3 linked regions of the Macaca fascicularis genome follow. The protein of the gene in region 3 interacts with the protein of the main gene of each other region in a biochemical or structural test. Links are inferred from orthologs where the notes say so. Each region holds a gene or a part of one and is shown on either strand. Other genes may lie near its edges.

Region 1 (3,749 bases), on a different chromosome or scaffold from region 3:
GCTGTCTGGCCTGCGGCCTGGGGCGTGACGCCACCCACGGCCCTCCTGGGCCCCAACAGGTAAACAAGGAAGCCTCACTGTTTCCTTCCTGGGCCCCAGTGCCAGGCACGGGGGTGTCTGGGTCAGGGGTCCTGGTGGCACTCAGCACTCCAAGAGGCTGAGGGCAGCACCCCCAAAGAGCAGTTGTTGGCGAGGTCCTTCCTGGACAGGGAGGGCTCTCAGGGGTCTTGGGGGTGTCCTCTGTTTGACAGGGAACTCACTGGGGCCCCATGAGGTAAGGGACTTGGCCACAGCCACAGAGCAAGGCTGGAACTTCAGGCTCAGAACTGCCCAGCAGTTCCCCAAGACTCCGGGCCCCCCAAGCCTGGTGCTGGGTTTCCAGGCGGCCTCACCTGCACCGAACCCCACCAAGTCCCAACAAACCTCTTATTTTCAGCACCTCCAAACATGTCTTTTACCCGGAGCAAACCCAGGCTCCGAGAAGCAAAGCCCCCGCCGATGGCACACGGCAAGTCCGCCGTGGAGGGCTCTCTCTGGTGGCCCCTGCCCCAGGGCTCGCTCTGGCTCCTGAAGGAACAGCGGCTGCAGGCAGTGGCTGGGCAGCAGCGGTGGCCCTGGGCACTCAGCAGCTCCTGTATTTCCACGCTCCCCCAACTCCCTCCCAGGCACACGGGGAAGGGAGAGCCCCGGTGGGTGGCAGCACCCCCCCGCGTCTCAACGCTGGCCTCTGAGGACTGACCCTGCGGCAGATGTCTAGAGGCCCCCTCCCCAGGAAATCCGGAAAACCGGATTATCCCCTAATGCTGGTCCAGGAGGCTCTGCCCACAATCCCTGGCAACCGGTCTGGTGGGCAGGAGCCAGGAACCCGCATCCCTTCCTTCCAGAACAGCAGCCGCCTCACAGGCCTGGCCTCGAGGTGGGGCCGCCCCTGCTCACAGCCAGCTGCTCCCCCAAGCAGAAAAAAGGGGCTGGGGGAGGGGGCTGCTAAAACCATTTGACAACCTCAAGGCTCAAACTCTGTTCCCTGTGTGGGGACCCACGATTCCAGATGCACAACCCACGGACGTCCCACCCTCTGCCGTAACCCAGAACCTCAGCTCAGGAATCGCCCCCAGCAGACCAGGCTGCTGCCCTCACAGCCGCTGAGCGCGCGCGGTTCAGACATTAATTAGCCCGGAGAGCACACGCTCTGAGAGGCATCGGTCCCTCGGCCCCATGCCCGCAGCTGGCCGGGGCAGAGCAGGCCCGGCTGTGCCCAGGCTCTTGGCAGGCAGCGACAGCGGGAGGGGGGATTCCTGGACAGGGTGCGCGATCCCCACCTCTCACACGGGGCCCCTCACTTTGTCCCTCTGGCCCCAAGGACGAGGTCCTGGAACTCTACAAGAGCCAAAGGTCACGTCTGGATCGTGAGATCAAGAAAACTGGCCAGGCTTTGGCCTGAGTCCTTTCCACACTGGACAGAAACAGTCTCCCTGCTCCCAACGGCAACAAAAACATCAAGAACCTGCTTGGAATGAAACCGCCAGAGGGCAGAAGGAATGGCCCAGAACTCGGGGTTGGGGTCACAGGAAGCCACCTGTTCAGTGGAATCTGAGAAAGGCCAAGGCCAGCTGGGATGAAGCAGCCCGGAGCTTCTGAGGTCGGGGTCCGGGACGCGGGCCGGAGCCGGGGGCCCGGGGAGAGCTGCAGGGAGCAGGTGGGAGGGACGCCCCTGCCTCAGCCTTCCCGAGGGCGCAGGTTACATAAACCCGGGGATGGAGCCCAGGGCGCCTGGCCGGCTGCTATCGGCAAGGGTGGCCGCTTTCCAGGCAGGGCCCGGCTGCCAAGGCTCATCCGGGCCTTTGTTGGAGCCTGAGCGAGTGGCCGCGCCAGCCACCCCCAGGCTGGCCTCGCTCCCCCGCTCACAGGCCCAGCTCCCCAACAATAGCAGCTGCGGGGTCTGGGGGGGGCCTCTTTGTCTCCTCCGGGGAGGGCGGGGAGGGCAGCAGAAAGGCCGGGGCGGCCTGGGCTCCGCTCCCTCTTTCTCGCAAGGGCGGAGGGGGAGGCAGCCGGGGTCGAGCCCCCCCCAGGAAGGAGGTGGGCAAGAGCCCCACGCGCAGATGATACCGGGAGGGCCCCGGGCCACCCTTCTGCGGGCCAGGAGACTACCCGGGGACCGGACGGTGCCTTCAAGGAAACTGAGAATTCTCGGGGACCGCAGCAGAGGCTGAAGGTCCCCGGGACCGTCCGAGGAGGGGGCCGGGCACAGCTGGGTGGGGAGACCCGGCCATAGAAGGGAAGCGAGCCCAAGCCAGGAGGCTGCCGGGCCCGCCCGGGGACCGCGGGGCAGGGAGCTGGTTCCTGGCGCCCGAGGTCGCTCGTGGGCTCAGGGACCCGGGCGGGGGTCGCCGCGCTCACCTTGAAGTAGCCGCCCTCGTAGTAGGTGTTGGGGGGTCCGAAGATGGCCACCTCCCAGTTGTACAGGTCGCCCTCGTCCACCAGGGTCACGCGGAAGCCCTCGACCGGCTCTTCCTGCAGCCCCTTGAGCTCCAGCAGCAGCGCCTTCTGCGAGCTGGGCACTAGCGGCCGGGCCATGGCGGCGGCGGAGGGGCCCGGGGTCGGCGCCGCGCGGGGCCGCGCGACCACCGCGAGCTCGCGAGACGGGCCGGGCCGCGCGCCGTCCGGGGGGGAGCCGCCGGGGCCGCCGCCTGCCTCCTCCTCTGCGCCGCCGCCGCCGCCCGGGGACCCCGAGCGCTCCACCAGCTCTGGCGCCGCCGCCCCACCAGCGCTCGCCTTGGCCCGGCCCGCGCGCCCCGCCCCCCGCTGCGCCTGCGCGCTCCGCCCGGCCCCGACTGCGCCTGCGCGCCGCGGCCAGGCCCGACCTGCGCCTGCGCGCCCGCCCGCGGGGCACGCCGGGAAGTGGAGTCCCGGTCCCGGTTCCGCCTACCGCGCCGAGCGCCGCCGCCGGGAGGGAGGGTTCGAGCGCGCAACCCTGGGCGCTTCCGATCCCCGAGGCCGCCGCCGTCGCCCCCAGCTCGACCAGTACCGCGGACGCTGTGCGCACGGAGGCGGGCAGGGCTGCTCTGGCCGTGGCTGGCCCGGTCCCCCAGCTTTGGGGTCGTTTTGTGACGTCCCGGCGTGGGGCGGGGCTGCGGGCGGTGAACGGGGCGCGGGGCGAGGTCCTGACCGGGGCCGGAGGGGCAGGGCCGGTTCCCCCGGCGCGACCCCGCGTCCGCGCCTCCGTTTCCCCGTCTATACAGGGGACGGGCGCTGAGTCTGTCCTGGGGCGCGCTGGCCTCGCGGAGGGGAGGAGCGGGAGCGAGGCGGGGTGTGCAGACCCGGCTTCCAGGCGCGGCGCTGCCTCGGTTCCCCCGACAGCGGGAGCTCTGAGAAGTGGGCGAGGTCGGGGAGGGCTCTGAGGGCGGGAGGGGGCGAGGGCTTTCCTGGTCCCCCGTTGAAGTCACCATGTGGTGTGAGGCGGGTGCAGGTGCTGGAGCCATCAGAGGTTGGCAAGGTGCTCCTGCCCCCCAGAGAAACTGGGAAAGAGGCTCCCCCCAGCCAGCATCGGCTCAGCACCTGACCCGGGAGAGGCGCCAGCCCCACGGAGCCCCCACCCCAAGCTGAGCCTGAGCCTGGCTGTGCCCTCCTCCCAGCCTGACCTCTGTCCCACCCAAGTCTTTTTTTTGAGACAGTCTCGCCCTGTCGCCCAGGCTGGAGCGCAGTGGCACAATCTCACTGCAGCCTCCACCTCCAGGGTTCAAGGGAGCCTC
Region 2 (3,649 bases), on a different chromosome or scaffold from region 3:
GTCTCACACACTTTTAAATGACTGAACCCCATGAGAACTCACTGACTGTCTCAAAGACAGCACTAAGCCAGGAGGGATCCGCCCGCATGATCCAAACATCTCTCACCAGGCCCCACCTCCAGCATTGAGAATTACAATTCAACATAAGACTTGGATGGAGATATATCCAAACTCTATCACCATCATAGGCTATAAAGATGTACCAGGCCACCTGCCTCAATTACAGAGGAAGCTCTGACCTTGGGATCATTAATGTGAGGCGAGAATTGGACTGAGGAAAAGTTAGAGACTATTTTAGACAGCTGTGTGGTATGGAGAATGGTATAAGTAAATATAGTGGGAATTGATGTCTTTTATTGAGCACTTACTATGTTCCAGGTATTGTAATGGGTACCTGATATACCTAGGCGTTGTAATAGGTGTCTGATAAATATTTTCAACCACACAACAACGTTATGAAGGAGAATTTTTTATCCTCATTTTACAGATGAGAAAATTGGGAATTAGGTTAAATAACTGGTAGACCTGAGATTTGAACCAGCTGTTAAGACTCCAGACTCAGGTTGTGAAGCAAAGTGGATTTTTGACAGGAATAGAGTGGTTGTGTGTGTGTGTGTGCGCGCGCATGTGTGGGCACACATTATGTGTAGGAAGGGCAGTGGGCAGAATGTGGGGTTGGAAGGAAGGGTTTTGTGGAGTGGGGTGGTGAAGATATTTGGAGTATGAGTTGGGCCCAACCCACGAAAGTCCTGGAATTCCAGATTGAGGATAACTTGTTTCTTGTCTTGTCTACTTCTTCCATATTTATATAAAGGAGGGAGAAACATACAACAGTTTTGGTTTATTTAGATTCTCTTATGGAAATTTTGGGAGTTGAATTAACAGCAGGGTGGTGAAATGACAAAAGCATAGCCTGGAGAGTTAGAAGAGACCTCATTGCTGGAATAGCTTTTAGCAAGCCCCTTTTTCTCTCCCCTCCCTTGTCCTCGGTGAAAACAGAGTGCAGAGCCTAAAGTTTTCTGTTTTTGCTTTTTGTCTTTTTGGTAGCCCAAGAGTTTAACTTCATATATTAAGGTGATAATGGAATGTATCATTTGTCTTCCTATATTTAATCTGAGAGAGTACAAAAAAGGGGCTATGGCTTGGTAGTAGATCAGGTGGAGGTGCAAGAGTTGGATGTTCAAGCTCCTCAGCACCTCTTGCTGGTCCTGAGATGCCTCTTGCTGGCGAGAGGGTTGTTGCTTCTAGCTTCTACCCTGTTCTTGTTTAGTAAATATAAATGTCAATAAATAAGTATACAATGCACATACTTTTCTAAACCTCTGTGCAGTTGTATTTAGATGAAAAATCCAGATTCTGAGCCACATTATGTCATCATTTACCTTAAGCATGGCTAGGCTATTCGGATGCTAAGAAATTCATGCATATCTGTATTGGAGGGCCATTTAGAGCTTGAGGCCCTGCTCTGGCTGTCTCTCAGCACAAAACGCTGGTTTTTGGGACCATTCTAGATGGCTATGACTGTGAACAGTGCACATGCACGTGTATGTATACAGGTATGGCCTGCTGTTCCTGACACCGCATGTGAATGTTAGGGGCTCTGCTTCTGCCAACCCCTCTGCCCTGCAGACCTACTCAGAACTGGATGCCCAACAAGCTTTAGAAGAGAAAGTAAAGCGTTCTAACTGTGAACAGGGAAGCCAGCTTGCTTTCAGGGTTCAGAGTAACAGCCCAGAGGATCCAGCCCAAGCACAGACACCTGATGTAGCACCTGCTCTTTGGGTCTGTTCTTTGGATCTGATACGTGTCCTCAATAAAATGTTTCAGTAAAGAGTGCTTTTTTCTTTCTTTCTTTTTATCAGAATGGTATAACTTGGAGAGTTACAATATCTTTTCATGGTCATTTTCATACTAACCTTTACTAATAGGAAAGAAGGAACTAATGTAAATCCTGATATTTTATGAAAATACTTCCAGTGGTGCTTACATATGAAATTATTAATAAACTTTCAGCTTACATTTTTATTGCCTAATATGTATGCAAACATACTTTACTTGAAGTTGAGGATGCGTGTGGTGGCCCACACCTTTAATCCCAACATTTTGGGAGGCTAAGGCGGGAAGATCACCTGAACACAGGAGTTCAAGACCAGCCTGGGAAACATAGAAAGACCCTGTCTCTACAAGAAAAAAAAGAAAAGAAAAATTAGCCGTGCATGATGGTGCACACTAGTAGTCCCAGCTACCCTGCAGGCTCAGGCAGATCACTTGAGCCTGGGAGGTTGAGGCTGTTTTTGCGCCACTGCACTTCAGCCTGGGCAACATAGTGAGATCCTGTCTCGAAAAAAAAAAAAGAAAAAGAAAAAAGAAATACTAATGTTGAGATGCTTTTCTATCATTTTCTTGCCATGAGCTTACTTAATTATACCAGTATTTCTAGAGAAGAGAGGGGAAAGTGAACATTTCATTTGAGACTAATCTGTTTTTATGATTTGTTTAATATGCTAACATTGATGTCTTTCTATTAAGTTCAAGTTCACTGCTGACAGGATTTTACAACTACTGAAGTATTTTTTGTTTTACCTTAGAATTCACATGAAAATTTCATGAACTTTAACATTTGGTTGGGAATTTAACTTTGTTGTCAGACTATTTCTAGGAGGTAGGTCACTAATTGCATGTTTTTAAAACAATTTAGTGTCAGGTTAATTGAGATAGTATTTAATTATATCAAAACATTTGCTTATTTTCTGAGTTTGTTTTTTTTTTTATGATATTGGAAATAAATGAGGCTGACTTTTTTCCTTTTTCTTTTCAAGATTTTCAGCTGAACTCTCATCTCTCAACACTGGCAAATATTCATAAGATCTACCACACCCTTAATAAGCTGGTAAGTCATTCTTTTAAAGACAAAATTACCAACTGTTTGAAGTAGTCATTTTGTGTAAGAGTATTTGATAAAAATTTAGATTCTAGATACTAGGATATCAGTTTATGAGAATGCTAACGGTGTGTGATTTGTTGGTAATAACGAACATATTTCTTTCAGAACCTAACAGAAGACATTGGCCAAGACGATCACCAAACAGGTATCTGTAAATGCTAACACTACTTAATTTTAAATAACTTCTTAATGTAAAATTAAGAAAGAGAAATACTAGCTATGAATGTGCTGTATTGTCATAATGTACTCCATTAACAAGTTGTTCCTTGGCTGAGGTTGTTTTTCAGGGAGTAATGAAGGCAGCCATGTTATAGCTTCTTCCCAGTAGGAAATCTCTTGTGGAAGCACTTTTTAATGCCTTTAAAGAGGCTCGAGATTCTCTTGAATAATTGTTTCAAGATACCATTTTTTCTCTACTGCAGTATTTTCATTTATACTAAAAAGGTGCTACAGTAATGCAGTTTGGAAGGTATTCCACAAATATTTGAGAAATTGAGCTGAAAAATGATTTAATGTGTGTGTATGTATGTGTTTATAGTTACTGAGGATTTAGGAATCGGAAAATTGAAGCTTGATTAGTGTAAGGTGTCCTCTAAGTCTGTGGTTCTCAGAGTTTAACTGGCATTATAATCACCTGCGGGGAGGCCTTGTTTAAAGTACAGATGTTAGGTTCCACCCCAGAGTTTCTGGTTCTGTAGACTTGGG
Region 3 (3,345 bases):
GTGATTACAGAATCTGTATCACGATGCTTTTAGATGGAGTTGTGTCAACTGCGGTAATTAGCTCCAAATGCATACTGGATCAGGCTTCAAAGAGAACAGCTGTGAAGTGCCATTTTATGTGGCTCAAGCAGAGAAGCCAGGAGAGGGGGCCTATCTCCACGGAGCTCAAGAAACACAGGAGAAGCAAGGCATAGAAGCAGGCCATGCCACAGTAATAGGATCTCCTCATAGCTTTTCAAAGACAAAATACAATCTATATATTTATGTATTAGCCTGGAGGAAAATGGAATCTTGACCATTTTAGGTTTCAAAGTGAATCGCAATTAATATTTGTCTCCCCCATGGGGAATTACGTTTCTGGAGAGGGTCTAATGTCTTATATTATCTTCACATCCTGCACCAGCCCAAGGACTGCACACGGAAGGCAATCAGGAAGCATGAGTGATAGTAACAGTCTATCCTAGACCAAAGCAACAATCACTGCTAAGTTAAAAGAATGAAGAGCCGAGGTCCCCTCCTCACACTGGCCTGTTAGGACCTCACTCCACACCCACTAGATCACAATCTGCATTTGAACAAGATGCCCAGGTGGCTCATTTGCATATAAAAGTTTAAGAAGCATTCTCTACTGACAAGTTTTCTTTGAAACAAATGAGCTGTAGGCCACGCTCGGTGGCTCACACCTGTAATCCCAGCACGTTGGGAGGCGGGCGGATCATGAGGTCAGGAGATGGAGACCATCCTGGCTAACACGGCGAAACCCTGTCTCTACTAAAAATACAAAAAGAAAATTAGCCGGGCGTGGTGACAGGCGCCTGTAGTCCCAGCTACTCGGGAGCCTGAGGCAGGAGAATGGCGTGAACCTGGGAGGCAGAACTTGCAGTGAGCCGAGATCACACCACTGCACTCCAGCCTGGGTGAGAGAGTGAGACTCCGTCTCAGGAAAAAAAAAAAAAAGCTGTAGAACTTTCCCTTATTTTACAAATGAAAAATATGAAATTTTATTACTTCTCAATGTGGGAATTTTCGGAGAGAATGTAAAGTTACACATTCTAGTGGTTTAAGAGCAAATACAACAAAACCATACTCTTTTCCTTAGAAAAAACTAAAAAACAAGTAGAGATTTCTGTTTGATTGTAAGGTTAATAAATGCCAACAACAAACCAGAAAAGACATACCCCACTATTAAGTTTGCTGTGCAATGTTTTGCACAATCTCAGTGTAAACACTTGTAAAGTCCAATGCTTAAATGTTTCCCCCTCAAAAAAACTTGACATTAAAAACACTTACTTGTGGTGTGTCTTTCTGCATTGATGTAGTAATTTTAAATTTTGTTCGTTTACTGCTAAAGTTCATATTTAATGAAAATGAAGATTCTGCATCAATATCTTCCTACATTTAAAAATAAAACATTTATATTTACAAAAACCAAAATCTTATAAATAAGAGCTTGCTGCAAGCAATTCCACTAAATGAATGACCAAGCAAAAAAGTCTCCACTCTTATAACTTTTATATTATAGATTACCAAATTTAAGAGAAAAATAATTCTTTTGTTCAAACAAACAGGAAAAACCCAATTTTATTTTCTACTTTTACATCTGCCAGAATCTTAAGCAGTTTATATTTGGCAATAAGATATTTGCTGGTCCTACTATTACATACACACTACTTTTTGATAAAAGAGTCAAGCTCATTGCCTAGAGTTTGACATTTTAATTTTTATGAAACACCAAAGTTCATAACTTTTCCATCACCCCATTCTGAAAAACCAACCAAATTTTTTTTACAAATGCTGCAATAACAAAATACCCACTGTAAATGACCTGATGGCAGGAGAAAGCTGTGCCTCCAGTAGCACACAGCATCAATTTGCCGTGACCTGGGGTGATGGTGAAAACGTTTACTTCAATCCATCTTTTATTCACTCTTCAAGAAGCAAGTGGCCTTTGCTCAGAGGAAAACTGTTAAGCCAATTTTTAGAATAACAACTTCCATATCAGGCTTAAGAAAGCCACTGATATCACAGGGTGGAATTTCTCTGGCAGAAGGATCAAAAGGCATTTGGAAGATGAACTAATTCTCAATAATAATCTAATACATTCTGCTAAGGAATGGACGGATTCATAATTAAATTAAAAGGCCAGGCATGGTGGCTCACGCCTATAATCTCACCACTTTGGGAGGCTGAGGTGGGCAGAGTGCTTGAGCTCAGGAGTTCAAGACCAGCCTGGCCAATACAGCAAAATCCGGTCTCTACTAAAAATTTAAAAATTAGCCTGGCATAGTGGCTCACACCTGTGGTCCCAGCTACTTGGAAGGCTGAGGCGGGATTATCACTTGAGCCCAGGAGGTGGGGGTTGCAGTGAGCTGAGATGGCACCACTGCACTCCAACCTGGGTGGTACAATGAGATCTCACCTTAAAAACAAATAAAAAATAATATAAAATAAAATTTAAAGTGCAAACAAGGAATCTATGTTTACTTTGTCAATTTCTGGGCAGCATGTTTTAGAAAAAAAATATAAAACCTTCAAGCATTTACTAGCCTAAAATTAAAAACCATAATTAATTAACCTTAAGAAATCCCTATTTTGGCCAGGCACGGTGGTCACACTTGTAATCCCAGCACTTTGGGAGGCCAAGACGGGTGGATCACCTGAGGTCAGGAGTTCCAGACCAGCCTGACCAGCCTGGCCAACATTGTGAAACCCTATCTCCACTAAAAATACAAAAGTAGCTGGGCATGGTGGCATGTCCCAGCTACTCAGGAAGCTGAGACAGGAGAATCATTTGAACCCAGAAGGTGGAGGCTGCAGTGAGCCGAGATCACGCCATTACACTCCAGTCTGGGCAACAAGAGTGGAACACCGTCTCAAAAAAAAAAAAAAAAAAGAAATTCCGTATTTTGCTAAGATTCTGATGCCAGAAAAATCATTTCTCAAAATTATGAAAACATTGATTTGAATTTCAGAATATATGCCTTTTACAGTTGTTCAATTGTAGACTATAAAATGTCATCATCATCTTCGGGATGTCAGCAAAATGAATTGATGAGAGAAATAAACCGTAGGCTATTAACTTTACCAAAATAAAAACAAAACATTATTTATAGAAATTTTTTTCTTACAAGCACAATAATTTGAAGGAGATATAATCCCACCTCTGTTGCATTTTTAACTATTTAAACATCTAGGATATACTATGAAAACAAAACAATGAAATCTTGTAACTAGAAAAAAAGTTACAGAGAAAAAAAGTAATATACTAATGGCTTGTTATTCTTGTGACAGGCATCAAAAATATATGGTGGTTAAAAACAGATGATAGTTAATTGAGTGCTGACA

Evidence for each region.
Region 1: the proteins of CUL2 (region 3) and CDC34 form a complex in vitro, tested with the Homo sapiens proteins (2 studies listed by BioGRID). The link is inferred for Macaca fascicularis from reciprocal best matches to the Homo sapiens genes CUL2 and CDC34.
Region 2: of the proteins of CUL2 (region 3) and DCUN1D4, one has a biochemical effect on the other in vitro, tested with the Homo sapiens proteins (2 studies listed by BioGRID, with this or other methods). The link is inferred for Macaca fascicularis from reciprocal best matches to the Homo sapiens genes CUL2 and DCUN1D4.

The regions. Positions count from the first base shown.
Region 1 is NC_088393.1:1,084,869-1,088,617, reverse strand, and holds the start of CDC34 (ubiquitin-conjugating enzyme E2 R1), read right to left. Parts: upstream 2,747-3,749; 5' UTR 2,575-2,746; coding exon 2,398-2,574; intron 1-2,397. UniProt on the Homo sapiens protein: E2 ubiquitin-conjugating enzyme that accepts ubiquitin from an E1 ubiquitin-activating protein, and catalyzes its covalent attachment to other proteins by an E3 ubiquitin-protein ligase complex. In vitro catalyzes 'Lys-48'-linked polyubiquitination.
Region 2 is NC_088379.1:82,041,710-82,045,358, reverse strand, and holds part of DCUN1D4 (DCN1-like protein 4), read left to right. Parts: intron 1-2,819; coding exon 2,820-2,890; intron 2,891-3,049; coding exon 3,050-3,089; intron 3,090-3,649. UniProt on the Homo sapiens protein: Contributes to the neddylation of all cullins by transferring NEDD8 from N-terminally acetylated NEDD8-conjugating E2s enzyme to different cullin C-terminal domain-RBX complexes which are necessary for the activation of cullin-RING E3 ubiquitin ligases (CRLs).
Region 3 is NC_088383.1:35,782,026-35,785,370, forward strand, and holds part of CUL2 (cullin-2), read right to left. Parts: intron 1,393-3,345; coding exon 1,291-1,392; intron 1-1,290.